Nothobranchius furzeri: one gene and its partners. The protein of the gene in region 1 binds, or shares a complex with, the protein of each later gene. Links are inferred from orthologs where the notes say so. Each region holds a gene or a part of one and is shown in the gene's direction. Other genes may lie near its edges.

Region 1 (5,139 bases):
CCATAGCCTGCAGCAGGACAGAGAGAAACACTGTGCACCCTAACAGGCGCATGGCTGCCCCTCTCTCAGCTTCTCTGTTACAGAACAATCTAATCTGTCAGAGCAACCCCCTCACTGCTGAACCTCACATCTGACAGAGCCTTAATGTACAAGGGGCGGGTCGAAATGACCAGAAATGATAAGCTGGATTTCTCCAATAGGTTCCTCTCTTAGGTCCTAACAAAACAAACCCTGATCAAAAGCACGCGTGCTGCAGGCCAAAGTTCATAGCTATGTCATAAAACTCACAGAAAGATGAGGTGCATGTGACTCGGGCGAAAGGTAAAAGTCCAATCAAACGCATAATGTGATTATTCATATAAAACAGTCTGTTACACAAGCGCGGTCAGGGCCAACAAACAAATCATATAAATCCCTGACGACAAACGAATGAGTGTTTCAAGCTGTTAGAATAAACAGCATTGTGTGCTTATGAGGTTAAAGTGCAGGAAGGAAGAAACGCTGAGCAAATCAGAAAATGTGCAATTAGAGAAGGTGATGACATCATTTACTAATACAGTTCTGATTTACAAAGATGGTCACAAATTAGACACAGAACAAAAATAAATCTAAAACTAACAGAAAAGTGTTTATACCATGAAGGTATTAATACTATGATGATGATAGGCTTATCAGCTTGTCGCAACAGGGGGGTGGGGATGATGCAGAGGAATGCTGGTGTCCTATCGTGACTTTCAACATTTACACAACCTGAAGTGCGTTGCCTGTGTAAATACTGTCTGCAATCGTGCCCGCAAGGGCACCACAGATGTCACAGCAGCCATATTCAGTTACACAACTTCTAAATCTCATTATAAAACAAGCCAAGTATCACGGAGGTTTACTTTACCGCTGCCGTGGATAAAACAAAATACAAAATCACGGCCAGTAGTGTCCCGCTGCTCGCCACAGCCCCCAAGCCCAAAACAACATATAACGGCCTCATTTAGTTATAGAAAAGGTCACTTCTGTCGAAAATCCATGCGTTGTTCGGTTGTTCGTTGTAGCTGCACGTGACTCCGCCCCGTTGTAGGCTACTAGGTGGGCCAAGGGTAAAATTATTATTATTATTATTATTATTATTATTATTATTATTATTATTATTATCATCATCATCATCATCATCATCATCACTGTTGTCGTTGTTGTTGTATTGAGCATTGTTGTCGGAAATCATGGAGTCTGCACCATTAAGTCTCTGGCGCATGTCACGGCGCGCTGTGCGAGAGGGGGAGTTTACTCACGAAGCAGCATGTACAGCACGTCACTCGCACTGAAACAAACACCCTCTATCTAATACAATCAATTAGAGGTCGTACAGAGTTTCACCATTTGATGGCTTTAACGTTCAAATCGAAGGAGGAGGGTGTTGGATAAATTATTTACTTTATCTGGGACATGGATTAGATCATGCCCCCATTATTTATCTGCACAGAAAGATTGCTGGGGTGTTCGGTCTTACACAATCAGACTAAATACAGCAACACCCACTTTTCACACCTTGTTCATTTAGGATACGATTCGTGGCGCACACAGTCTTGACACATTTCCGTGTACTGATCCACAATGATGCATCTAGTCTGATTGTGTAAGAACGAACAAATGGTCTGACTCCAGCATGCTTTCCATACTGATAAATAATGGGGACATGATGTAATTAAAATTATCCAACAGGGGACACAAATCTGCCCTCTAGTGGCGAAAATCTTTATTTAACTAACAGAACAGCGGCGGTGATTGCTGGTTTATGATGACGTCTTTGAAGTTAATTTGCTGGAAAAGCCTCGTTGTAAGATGGCACTGTCGTTAACAAATGCTAGAGGCGCAATAACTTTAGAAGGTCTCTGAACCAAGCGAAAAACCCCATTCCTGGTCTTTAGTCAGATAAAAAAGCACATGAACACCGGCAAAGCAGAGAAGGAGCAAACCCCTTCAGGTCAGCTTTTCTGACGTCATCAGCCTGTGTCAGTCAATCGGGAAACGTGCGTTCGCTTAAAGAGCGATATTGATAACAAAAAAAAAATCATTTTCTGACCAAATCTAGTGCACACAGCTTATTTAGCAGGACATGGATGATGAAGAGGAAACATATAGACTTTGGAAGATCCGCAAAACCATCATGCAGGTTCGTTAGGTTTGAATGTTTTCTTTATTTAGCTTGTTAGCCTCTTTTAGCTCGTTAGCTCAACATGAATGAATGTATTTTTTATCACTGAAGTTCCGTTAAATTTGACTTGTGTACTCCTTATTTTAACATTATGACAGCCTGGCTAAACACTAGCTTGTTCAACACTTGTTCCACTGGTATTTTAAGCAGTTTACCAAAGTACGAAGCAAGACTAGCGGCTCTAACCTGACTGCAACAATTGTTTCTGTAAAATTTAAATAAGTGTGTTTAAGTTCGACAAAATAACAGACGAATTATTTAATTTTAATGTTTATTAAATGAGTTTTCTGATACCTTCTCTGATGTTTTCCTCCTTCAGCTGTGCCATGATCGAGGTTACCTTGTGACCCAGGACGAGTTGGACCAGACTCTGGAGGAGTTCAAGAGTCAGTTTGGAGACAAACCGAGCGAAGGTCGTCCCAGACGAACAGATCTCACGGTGCTGGTGGCACACAATGATGATCCCACTGACCAGATGTTTGTTTTCTTTCCCGGTATGTTTATTTTAACTGGGAGATTGAACAGAAATGGAGACCAGGTGACTTTTGTGACTTTTGCTCAGTGCATCAGTCTTTTCTAGAAGTAACTGGGTGATTACATTTGGAACAGAGAAGCGTGTTTGATTTGAAGAAAATTGTTATGAATTCATCTTTTTTTTGTCCATTTTTGTCCCACCAGAGGAACCCAAGGTGGGGATCAAGACCATTAAAATGTACTGTCAGAGAATGCAGGAGGAGAATATCACTCGAGCCATCATCGTTGTTCAGATGGGCATGACGCCTTCAGCAAAACAGGTATGTTTATGTTCATGTATTTAGCAGACGCTTTTGTCCAAAAGACCTACAAGTAATAATGAAGCCAGCAGGTTGCCCTTGAGGCTTACAACAAACACTAATCAGTCAATCCTAGGTGGCAGTGAGGCAGCATAATGAATCGTAAAGGGAAGTGAATAAGGAGTGGACAGTAGAGTGGGGGACGGGTGCAGGGAGGGTGCTAGCTTAGAAGATGCTCTCTGACGAGCTGGGTCTTCAGGAGTTTCTTGAAAATGGACAAGGTCAAAGAGATCTCGCAGTACAGGCAGGAAGACCAGTTAGAAGGGCATTGCAGTAGTTGAGGTTGGAGATGACTGTAGATTGAACCAGGAGCTGGGTGGCATATTTTGTTAGATATGGTCTGATCTTTTATATGTTATACAGCATGAAGCGGCATGAACGAGTGACAGAGGCAACTTGATCTTTAACTCATTTCCTGCCATTGATGACTAAAGTCATCATTTGTATTTTTTTTTTTACTGTGTGGGTGTCGGAACGAGCTCCCGTACCGTGAGAACAAACATCCCAGCTCTAAAGCTGATCTTTATCCATGTACATCACACGTCACATGATCAGGAAGCAAAAAATCCATGTGTTAGGAGATCGTTTTGGGCTGCTGCTGTAAAAAAAAAAGTGAGGCACGATCCAGAAAAGCTTCTGCCGATCACAATTCGACAACGGATTATGAAAAAATGGATAACACTCTAAACACGCAGATTATTCCAGATGTAAGAGGTGAGTCTACTCTTTGTTTTGGTAGTTTGGGCGTTGACATCATCATAGAGTGCAACGTTCGGTGACTTTTCAAAAAACTGTGAAAACGCTGAAAACCTCTGGCAGCGAAGGGCTTTACTGATCAGGAAACGACCGGAAGGTAATGAGTTAAAGGTCAGCTGGTCATAAATCACAACACCCAAATTTCAAATTGTGTGTGAAGGAGCCAGAGATAGGGGCTCGTTTTGCATTGAGATATTGTGTCGTATGGATGGGTTTGCTGGGATGTCAAGTAATTCAGTTTTTGAGAGGTTGAGTTGGGGATGGTGAGATTTCATCCATCTTGATATATCAGAAAGACAGTCCAAGATTTGTACAGAGACTGTGAGGTCGTCCGGACGAGAATGACAGATAGAGCTGGGTGTCGTCAGCATAGCAGTGGTAGGAGAGGCCATGCGATCGAATGATCTCACCCAATGTGGTGGTGTATGTGGCAAAGAGAAGAGGTCCTAGTAAAGAGCCCTGGGGGACTCCTGTGGCAAGATGGTAAACAGCAGAAGATTGTCCGAGTCAGGTAAGATTCAAACCAGGAGTGTGCTTTCCCTGTGATGCCCATGCTAGAGAGTATGGACAAAAAGAAGCCACGGTTGACTGTGTCAAATTCAGATAAGTCAAGCAGGATAAGCACTGAGGATTTGGGCAGTCGCTCTAGCTTATTTTAAGGCTTCAGTGGAGTGGCCATTTTTGAACCCAGATTTGTATGGGTCAAGCAGATAGTTTTGTGAGAGGTGCTCTGCAACCTGCTTGAAGGCCGCCTTTTCGATGATTTTAGACAGGAACGGGAGGAGAGAGATAGGTCGGTAGTTCTCCACACGATTTGGAGGAAGGGAGTTGGTTTCTGAGTGTCAGAAGTGCTGAGAATTTTGTCAGTGTAGAAAGCTTTCTTTGCATTAGTGATGCTGGCAGAGAATGAACTTTGTACCGTTTTTAGATCAAATGATAACATTAAGGACAGGAAACCTGATGAAATGGGGTTGTCCAGATGAATATTCATGTCTCCAAGGACCATTGTGGGACAGTCATGCTCAGGAATGGAGGAGAGCAGGGTGTCAAGTTCATCTAGAAAGTCTCCGTGTTGTCCTGGTTGTCGATATATAACAACCATAAAGAATAATTTTCGGTGCAGTTACCCAGATGGCATGGTATTCAAAGGAGATGTACTTAGTTATGGGTAGCAACTGACTGTATTTCCATTTGTTGGAACTTAACATGCCTGTTCCACCACCTCGGCCAGATGCATGAGAAGTGTGGTTGATTGAGAGTGCAGCTGGGTTCATCGTCACCAGGTTTGATCCAGGTCTCAGTGAGAGCCAGGGCATCAAGTGACAGGTGACTGGCATATGCAGT
Region 2 (4,595 bases), on another chromosome or scaffold:
TCCTATTACATTTCTCTTTTTTGGCCAGATTTCTAAGTTTGTTCAAGAAAAAGGAGACCCATCCACCTCACAGCAGCCTGTTGATGGACAGACCTCAAACCAGCAGGTCCCTGAGGACATCTTCAGCTACTATGAACAGATGGATAAGGATGAAGAGGAGGAGGAGGAGACTCAGACAGTGTCCTTTGAAGTTCGACAGGTACCACATTTATTGTTTTTTTACAGAAATAATAGGAAGACCATCAACACCCTGTGCTTCATCTGCTGCAGGAGATGATTGAAGAGCTACAGAAGCGTTGTATCCAGCTGGAGTACCCCCTCCTAGCGGAGTATGACTTCCGAAATGACACAGTTAACCCAGACATCAACATAGACCTGAAGCCCACTGCCGTGCTGCGGCCCTACCAGGAGAAGAGTCTGCGCAAGATGTTTGGAAACGGGCGAGCCCGATCAGGAGTCATTGTGCTACCCTGTGGTAGGAAAGCTAGTCCAGAGCTGCCAGGAGAATACAAAACGTTTATTGATAAAATGCAGACTATAAGTTAGAACAGCAAGAAAACAAATGACTGATTTCTTGTTTCTGATTTGAAGGTGCTGGGAAGTCTCTGGTTGGCGTGACAGCGGCGTGCACCGTGCGTAAGCGCTGCCTGGTGCTGGGTAACTCGTCTGTATCTGTGGAGCAGTGGAAGGCCCAGTTCAAGATGTGGTCCACCATCGACGACTCTCAGATCTGCCGCTTCACCTCCGACGCCAAGGACAAGCCCATTGGCTGCTCGGTGGCCATCAGCACCTACTCTATGCTGGGTCACACCACCAAGCGATCATGGGAGGCTGAAAAGGTCATGGAGTGGATGCGGGGCCAGGAGTGGGGGCTTATGATCCTGGATGAGGTGCACACCATCCCTGGTGAGCTCTCGGCAAAATCCAGATAATAAAACCGTTTATTTTTTTATTTTGAATGCAATGGGACGTGGACCTTGTGTTTAATGTGAATTAATAATGTTATTTTTGTCTGCAGCAAAAATGTTCCGACGTGTTCTGACCATTGTCCAGGCCCACTGCAAACTGGGCCTTACTGCCACACTGGTCAGGGAAGATGACAAGATTGTGGACCTCAACTTCCTCATTGGGCCCAAGCTGTATGAAGCCAACTGGATGGAGCTGCAGAACAATGGTTATATTGCCAAAGTTCAGTGTGCAGAGGTAGGTCCTGTAACACTAGAACATAAATGGAAGATTTTAGGAGTAAAACTGGTATTCTTTTAAAACATTAAGCTAGTCACCAGAGCTTTGATGTGCAGTAATTAAACAGTGAGCCGATAAACCAAAATGAGATTCAAGAACACCTCAATAAACTTTCAGATCATTATGATTAGAGGTTCTTTAAATATCTGCTGCATCCTAGACTGGAAATTTCTTGGCAATTCTGCTAAAACAAGTGTGTGTAATGCAAATGTTTTAACAGGTTTTAAAACTATTGTTTACGGGAATTTGGAGTTGTTTTAATATGACAACATGCTTTGGATGTGGGTCTATTTTGAACCATATTTACAAGCTAAAACTTTTCCAAACCTCAAGGTTCAAGGGCATAGCAATCGTAAGAGTTGAAGATTGAAGAATCATTTTTATTTGAGAATCATTTTAGATGAGAGGTGAAGTTTCACCAAGATACAAGAAAATAAATATAGCTGTCCTTTTGTTTGGGCATTCTCTAAAGATCCGAGGGCTCTAGTGGACGATCAAAGAGATTATACTGATATTTGAATAGATGACTAGATACGGCAGCACTGAAAGGATTAACTTGTTTAAAATCAAGACTAAGGCTTTGACAGCAGCTACTGTGTGTCCTGTTGGGTTTAGTAGATATACTTAAGTTTTGATTATCTGGTTTTTACTTCTGAAAGTTTGTACAGCGCTGATTAAGTGGATCCCTGTGTGTGTGTGTGTGTGTGTGTGTGTGTGTGTGTTTCAGGTGTGGTGCCCCATGTCTCCAGAGTTTTACAGAGAGTATGTGGCCATTAAAACAAAAAAGCGCATTCTGCTTTACACAATGAACCCCAACAAGTTCCGGGCTTGCCAGTTCCTCATTCGCTTCCACGAGCGGCGCAACGACAAGATCATCGTCTTTGCCGACAACGTGTTTGCCTTGAAGGAGTACGCCGTTCGGCTCAACAAGTGAGCTTTCAGCGACAGAAGTTTTTCAAATTGTTGCATTAAGTATTCCTGAAATTTTTAATGATACCTTTTGTTGTTTTATGCAAGGCCTTACATCTATGGCCCCACCTCTCAGGGAGAGCGTATGCAGATTTTGCAGAATTTCAAACACAACCCAAAGATCAACACCATATTCATCTCCAAGGTGAAGTGTTCACCCGTCTCTCGCACACACACACTCGCACTTTTCGTTCCAAGTGCGAAGGAGGGGTGCCCTTTGATCCTTAAGAATTTTCTTGAAGCTTTATCTCGTCCGGGAACATCTTCTCTAACACCCTAACAAGCCTAGCCATCATTTAATTTACACTAATTGTCCCACCTTCAAAATAGATTTTAATGTATTTAGTGCTTAATGCTTATACAGTGATTTGTTCTGCACTAAAGCTTTGATGTTTGTTCGTACTTGCAGGTAACCTTGGGTTTAGATTTGTCCAAAGTAACAATACTGTTGATGAAAATGTATTATGTATATTAAATACGATTTATTTATTCAGAAAATTAACAAGGCCAGTAATTACTTAAGTAATGTTAGTTGTTCTCTGTGTAATTTGCATTTAAAAATCAATTCTTTGGTAAAAAAAAAACCAAGTCAACTCTTTTTTTTTGTTGTAGTATCAGAATTTCATATTTTTATGAAATAATTCAGAGAAATAACTTATTTTTCCCTCTCTTTAAATGTAAAGGTAAAGAGTAAAACTACAATTGGAAATGAAATAGTTGATTTCTATTATTAACATTTTTATTTTATAAGATTAGATTGCAACTTCAGGGCTGTAATTATGAGTTATCCTGGATTCTCCTTCAATTTTCATTTGGTAAGCCAGATAGGTCAAATTAAAAATTAAACATAAAGCATGCTAACTTGCTTTTGTAGCAGATCACAACGTTTTCATGAAATCAGATGTTTTTGCACAAAATAACAAAACATTCTAAAATAACACGGGTAAAAATGTAGGTCTTTACATTTGTGGCTACATGTGAAAATCAGTCAAGCAGCAGAGTAAAACTAACAGACTTCTGTGTTGTTGTTTAATGTGTGTGTTTTTTTTAATGTTTTCAAAGGAAGTGGAGACCAGAGGTGGAAATTACTAAAATTTCCTACTTAAGTACGAGTTCCAACACTTTGATAATTCTTTAGTACAAGTAACAGTATTAGCCAAAATTTGTACTCAACCAATAGTAAAAAGTATTGTAATTAAAATGTACGCAAAGTAAAGGTTACTTTTTTGTCAGAATAAGGACCTAAGTGCAAAATCATAACACTAGCGCACAACTCGCTTGCATGCAGGCACACACACGCACGCACGCACAGGACACACTGCATTATTTTAGAATCGTTTGAATGTTTGAATTACTAATTAAACTAAGGTAATGAGCTGAATATTCTTTTGCCGCTGCCGTGCGGAACAGTTTGAGGAATACATTTCAAAGGCGGAACCTCGTCTGGCTACCAAACCGAGCAGTATACTGCCGTAACATCAGTGCATGGAGGTGTGGGTTTCAACCAACAGGAGAGGGAGGGAGAGGGGGGAACAGCGAGTGCATCACAGGGTTTAAACTGATGTTTTTGAGCAAAACTGCAGCAAAAGTGTGGCTGTTTAATGCCCTCATTATAAAAAGTGTACACCCACACCCCCCACAGGTGAGACGCTTTGCTCATGCAGGTGTCTCTTCCTGTTCCAACACTGCAAAGCACAAGATCTTAAATTTATTATTAAGCCTTTTTGACTCTGTAACGGGTATGATGTAACGTAGTAATGAAGTACTAAAAAATAAAATAAAAACATACTCAAGTAAAAGTACAGACTTTTAAAATGACTGAAAAGTACAAATAAACAAAAAAGCTACTCAATTACAGTAACTATTACTTTGTACCTCTGGTGGAGACACCAGCTTTATTCAGCTTTTTGCTGCATTGTGTATTTTTATTCATTTATTTTTTACCATCCAGCTGGTCAGTCTGGTTCTGTTAAATATAAATTTAGAGACCTTATGCATAAATTGCTGAGGATGTCAGAGTTATTTTTGTTAGCTGGAAGTTGCTGGTGAATGTTCTCATCCAGGGCATGGTAAGTTCAGGAGAAGACAACTGGACATCTTTATTTATGAAGATGTTTTGCAAGAAGCTGTCCCAAGATTTGTCATCTATGCCCTCATCTGAACCTACTAGGACAACTGAGTTACAAATAACATGCTAATCTCACAAACTTAACTTGACTTAAATAATTTCTCAAAATTAGACACTCAAGTTACCAAAGGGATAATCCTGGTGCAAATAATTTTTTTTTTAACATTTGCTTCAGACATATTTGATTTGATCTAAAACAATTTGTCACAGTAATTTAATAGTAATGCTGAATAACAGAATGTGTTACCAGGTT
Region 3 (4,595 bases), on another chromosome or scaffold:
AGTAATATAACTGTGGTGGGCAGCATTGCACATTCCAGCGTATAGTCTGCTGGAAATTTATTATTATTATTATTATTATTATTATTATTAGAAGAAGAAGAAGAAGAGGAAGAAGAAGAAGAGGAAGAAGAAGAAGAGGAGGAAGAGGAGGAAGAAGAAGAAGGAAGAAGAAGGAAGAAGAAGAAGAAGAAGAAGAAGAAGAAGAAGAAGGAAGAAGAAAGAAGGAAGAAGAAAGAAGGAAGAAGGAAGAAGGAAGAAGAAGAAGAGGAGGAAGAAGAAGAGGAAGGAAGAGGAAGAAAGAAGAAAAAGAAAGAAGGAAGAAGAAGAAGGAAGAAAAAGGAAGAAAGAGGAAGAAGAAAGAAGAAAGAAGGAAGAAGGAAGAAGAAGAAGGAAGAAGAAGAAGAAGAGGAAGAAGAAGAGGAAGGAAGAAGGAAGAAAGAAGAAAAAGAAGAAAAAGAAAGAAGGAAGAAGAAGAAGGAAGAAAAAGGAAGAAAGAAGAAAGAAGGAAGAAGAAGAAGGAAGAAGAAGAAGAAGAGGAGGAAGAAGAAGAGGAGGAAGAAGAAGAGGAGGAAGAAGAAGAGGAAGGAAGAAGGAAGAAAGAAGAAAAAGAAAGAAGAAGAAAAAGAAAGAAGAAGAAGGAAGAAAAAGGAAGAAAGAAGAAGAAGAAGATGGAAGAAGAAAGAAGAGCAGGAAACAGAAAACTAGCAGGATGGTAGCCCTCGAGGACTGGAGTTGGTGTTCACCTGCTCTAGTTTAGATGTTTGTGTTCTACATTTAGAATTAGATACTAATAGAAAGCAGTGCCATGTCTCTCTAAAAGAATATAGAGTTAAACAAATTCTAGTAAATGGCTCTAGTGTTTAAATGTATGGAAATATTCATGTTTTAGATGCCTTTGATTATGTGTACGTTTCACACAATCAGCTTAACTGGAAAATGGCTTTTTCAATGTGTTAATTTCTTTGTGCAGGTGCCAGAATTTCATACTGAGTATGGCGGATCTGGATGACCAGGTTAGAGACTTCTCAACTGTCAAAAACCTGGATGATGGCAGTGATTCTTCAGACAGAAGCTGTAGAAAAGGGCATAAATCAACGCTTCCTCTGGTTAAACCTCTGTCTGTAGGTGAGAGGCACAGCACACTTACATTCTTTTCTTTTACATCTTAGTAATACTAATAAAGAGACTGTGCAGACGTGGAATGTATAAACCTTTTCCAGATCCGCTGATAGGACCTGTGTCATGTACTACGAAGAAGGATTAGTGGCTTATCGAGGTGACTTTAGGTTGTAGTTTGGTTAATTTCTAACTGATGCTGGTACAGGTTAGGTTACCAGATAAGAAACCACATATTGGTGTACCGCCTCAACCAATCCATTCTCAAAAAACAAACAAACAAACAAAAAAAAAAAAAGCAATCGGTTTGTAAAAAGGTGCTGCAATGGCAGCTTTAAACACACCTGGAGAACTAAGGGGTTGCTCTTCAGAATAAGATCATCAACTGACATTATATTCGTATACACTTGAACAAAGTTTTATGTTCTTTTATTTGTATATTTTAAGGAATAACTTCAGACGCATGTATTTCATCACCAGTAAACCATCCGTCCATTTTCAGCCACTTATCCAGAGGCCCAGACTTCCCTCTCCCCAGCCACTCGGGCCAGCTACTCCGGGGGACTCCTAAGGTGTTCCTTGGACAGCTGTGAGACAGTCTCTCAAGCGTGTCCTGGGTCTTTCTTTAGGTCTTCTCCCAGTTGGACGTGCCTGGAAAACCTCACCAGGAAAGCATCCAGGAGGCATCCTAACTAGATGTCTGAGCCACCTCAACTGGCTCCTCTTGATGTGGAGGAGCAGCGGGCTCACTCCAAGCCCCTCCCAGATGGTCGAGCTTCTCACCCTTTCTATAAGGGAGAGTCCAGACACCCTGCAGAGAAAACTCATTTCGGCCGCTTGTATCCACAATCTCATTCTTTCAGTCACTACCCAAAGCTCGTGACCATAGGTGAGGGTAGATTGACCGGTGAATCATTGGCTCAGCTCTCTCTTCACCACGACAGATCGGTATAAAGCCCACATCACTGCAGATGCAGACCAATCCGCCTGTCGATCCCGTGTTCCATCTTTCCCTCACTTGTGAAGGAGACCCCGAGATACTTGAACTCCTCCACTTGGATCAGGACCTCATCCCTGACTCAAAGTAAACTTTGTCCTAAAGTCAAAAATTTGTATAACTTAAATTTTCCGATTAGTGATGTCTAAAAATGTCAAAATTACTATATTTTAATGAGTACAGTCACCAGTTTATGTTAGCAAGTTGCAGAGTTGCACTGTTGGGAATTACTCTTAAATTTATTACACTAGAATCAAAATGGACTTACATTAAAATGCAAAACCAGGCTTATTTATGATGAGAATGAAATTTTTTTTGTAACCTTCAAACATCAGTTAAATAAACTCCCAAAGCAAACAGATGAGCTTGCTTTAAAAGTGGAGAAGAGCTGCAGTAAGTGTGAGTATTTTTATATTTAAAGAGCATAAATGCCTGGAAAGGGTTTTAGTGGTCAAATAATATGAATGTTTTCAGAGATGGACAAAGAAACTGGGTTCAGACGAAGTGTTCAGATGTGTTTGGAGCACATCAGAGAAGCCATGCTGCGTCATAGATGGCAAGAGGCAGCGGACTACATGGCGTCCTACCCTCAAATCCTAGAGGACCGGAACGGAGCCACAGCTGTGCTGTATAAAGAGGTGACTTAACTTTGTTTTATTATATTTGTTTTGAACCAACATTCACACTGAAGTTTTTATATACAAAATCCTCATAAAATATTTGACCACATTTAGCTTTTTAATTCTTTATTTTGTTGATCTTTACTCCAGGTTGTTTGGAGAATCTGCACCGAGATCCTTCACCATCATCCCAGAGCAACGATGGAAAGTTGCAACATCACCTATGAACGGATGAAACACTCTGGGGTTAAACTTTACCTGACGGTATGCTGGCCGACATACTTGATGCAATGCACTTTATTTAGCTTTTTTATGAAAACACCGTTTTGTCTGTGCGTTTAGATTTGCCTGGAGCATTGCTTCCACCTGCTGCTGAATGGTCAGATGGAAGAGGCAAAGCAGCAGCTATCAGTCGCCGAAAGCTGGCGATATGGGAAGGAGTCGGCCACTCAGCATCACAAGGTTCAACTGATCCAGGCCTACAGGAGCTTGTTGGATTATATAATCTGGTGTGACAAAAGGCGCACACGCTCTAAAAATAGTAAGAAGCGGCATCCTTTATGCCTGTTTGACTTGTTTGATTTGTGGTCCTATACTGCCCTCTAACGGTTAAATAAAGTAACTGCATGTGCAGCAGACAAGCTGCAGAGCTGGCTGTAAAAAAATTATTTCTTTTTTTTTTTTTTCAGATCCATTTGACTCTGATCACCAAGACTTGCATAACTATTTCAGACAAGCTTCTGTGCATCTACAAGAGATTTTGAAAAGTCCAGGAGTCTGGGATCCGTTCATTCTGAGTTATGTCGAGGTAAACGCTCATCTGTCGCAGGCGTTGTAAAACAGCACGATTGGATTGATTAAAATGCAACTGCAGTGTGTTTTAAAGTTTCATTTAGAAGGCGGCCAGAGCTAAATGATGCTAGCTGACACAAAAATAGCGACGTGCATTTTACAGATGTTAAGCTAAAATTTGTTGGTAGTCGAGTCATTCACATCAGAGCCCTAACAGATCGCATGAGTTTGAGTTTGATCTTGTTGCACCTCCTTAAGTGTTGGAGATGCTAATAAGGAGCTTTTGGCCCAGTGTTCTAACGGAGCAGCGTCCAACTATGTCATGTTATGTTCGAGGAGCTGTGAGTCAAGCATACAAACGACAAAGTACAAGGAAAATGTTTATCGACTGTGTTCATAATTTTTTACCACAAAAATGAACTGATGATTGTGTATCACACTTTTATTTTACTACCTTCTAATTCTAAACATTTAGAAAATAAAGCTTTAAAATTTATCAAATGGACAAGTCAAGGGATCGTACGGTCGTTTTAAACAAGTATGATTATCTGATGGACAAAGTGGCCTATCACATTGTCATATAGCTTAAATGTATGATCTGACAGACATGTGCTGTCAGGCGTATGCTGTAACACGCGTATGCTAATCTTGACAACGTATGGTGATTGGACAGAACACCATTTCACGCCAGTTTCTTTCCCAATTCTCCTCCTGACCATCTCAAGGATCTGCCTGATTATTGTAACAGATTTAAAGATAGTTTTATCAGATATTCCTGCCGTGTGTGGTGTGTTAATAGCTCTCTGGTCTGCTCGGAAGGACTGCAGGACTGCTCCCGATCACAAATCGGGATATTAAACGTGATGGAATGTCTTGGTCAGACATTCTGCCGGTTGGATGTGACGTGTAGCCAGTCTGAAATTGTGATCTCGATTGGTCTGAGCTAATCTTGAAATATTTGACGATTTTCTCATCTGTAGTGTAGATTTTGCCGTGTAGCCAAGCGCCAAACACTAAAACTGGTAAATGTGATTTATTTATTTTTTTTAATGCCACACGTGGGAGTCTCT

What was found. Proteins that work in one complex are often made in the same cells at the same time.
Region 2: polr2eb (region 1) and ercc3 share a complex: the UniProt entries of both Homo sapiens proteins name them as parts of the TBP-based Pol II pre-initiation complex. The link is inferred for Nothobranchius furzeri from reciprocal best matches to the Homo sapiens genes POLR2E and ERCC3.
Region 3: polr2eb (region 1) and taf1a share a complex: the UniProt entries of both Homo sapiens proteins name them as parts of the pol I pre-initiation complex. The link is inferred for Nothobranchius furzeri from reciprocal best matches to the Homo sapiens genes POLR2E and TAF1A.

Annotation. Positions count from the first base shown.
Region 1 is NC_091748.1:48,493,792-48,498,930, forward strand, and holds the start of polr2eb (DNA-directed RNA polymerases I, II, and III subunit RPABC1), read left to right. Parts: upstream 1-1,704; 5' UTR 1,705-2,107; coding exon 2,108-2,164; intron 2,165-2,525; coding exon 2,526-2,700; intron 2,701-2,884; coding exon 2,885-3,000; intron 3,001-5,139. UniProt on the Homo sapiens protein: DNA-dependent RNA polymerase catalyzes the transcription of DNA into RNA using the four ribonucleoside triphosphates as substrates.
Region 2 is NC_091749.1:40,317,111-40,321,705, reverse strand, and holds part of ercc3 (general transcription and DNA repair factor IIH helicase/translocase subunit XPB), read left to right. Parts: intron 1-28; coding exon 29-199; intron 200-270; coding exon 271-475; intron 476-591; coding exon 592-906; intron 907-1,018; coding exon 1,019-1,203; intron 1,204-1,972; coding exon 1,973-2,175; intron 2,176-2,262; coding exon 2,263-2,359; intron 2,360-4,592; coding exon 4,593-4,595. UniProt on the Homo sapiens protein: ATP-dependent 3'-5' DNA helicase/translocase. Binds dsDNA rather than ssDNA, unzipping it in a translocase rather than classical helicase activity. Component of the general transcription and DNA repair factor IIH (TFIIH) core complex.
Region 3 is NC_091742.1:8,330,439-8,335,033, reverse strand, and holds part of taf1a (TATA box-binding protein-associated factor RNA polymerase I subunit A), read left to right. Parts: intron 1-91; 5' UTR 92-668; coding exon 669-712; intron 713-970; coding exon 971-1,125; intron 1,126-2,587; coding exon 2,588-2,751; intron 2,752-2,883; coding exon 2,884-2,997; intron 2,998-3,075; coding exon 3,076-3,274; intron 3,275-3,422; coding exon 3,423-3,541; intron 3,542-4,595. UniProt on the Homo sapiens protein: Component of the transcription factor SL1/TIF-IB complex, which is involved in the assembly of the PIC (pre-initiation complex) during RNA polymerase I-dependent transcription.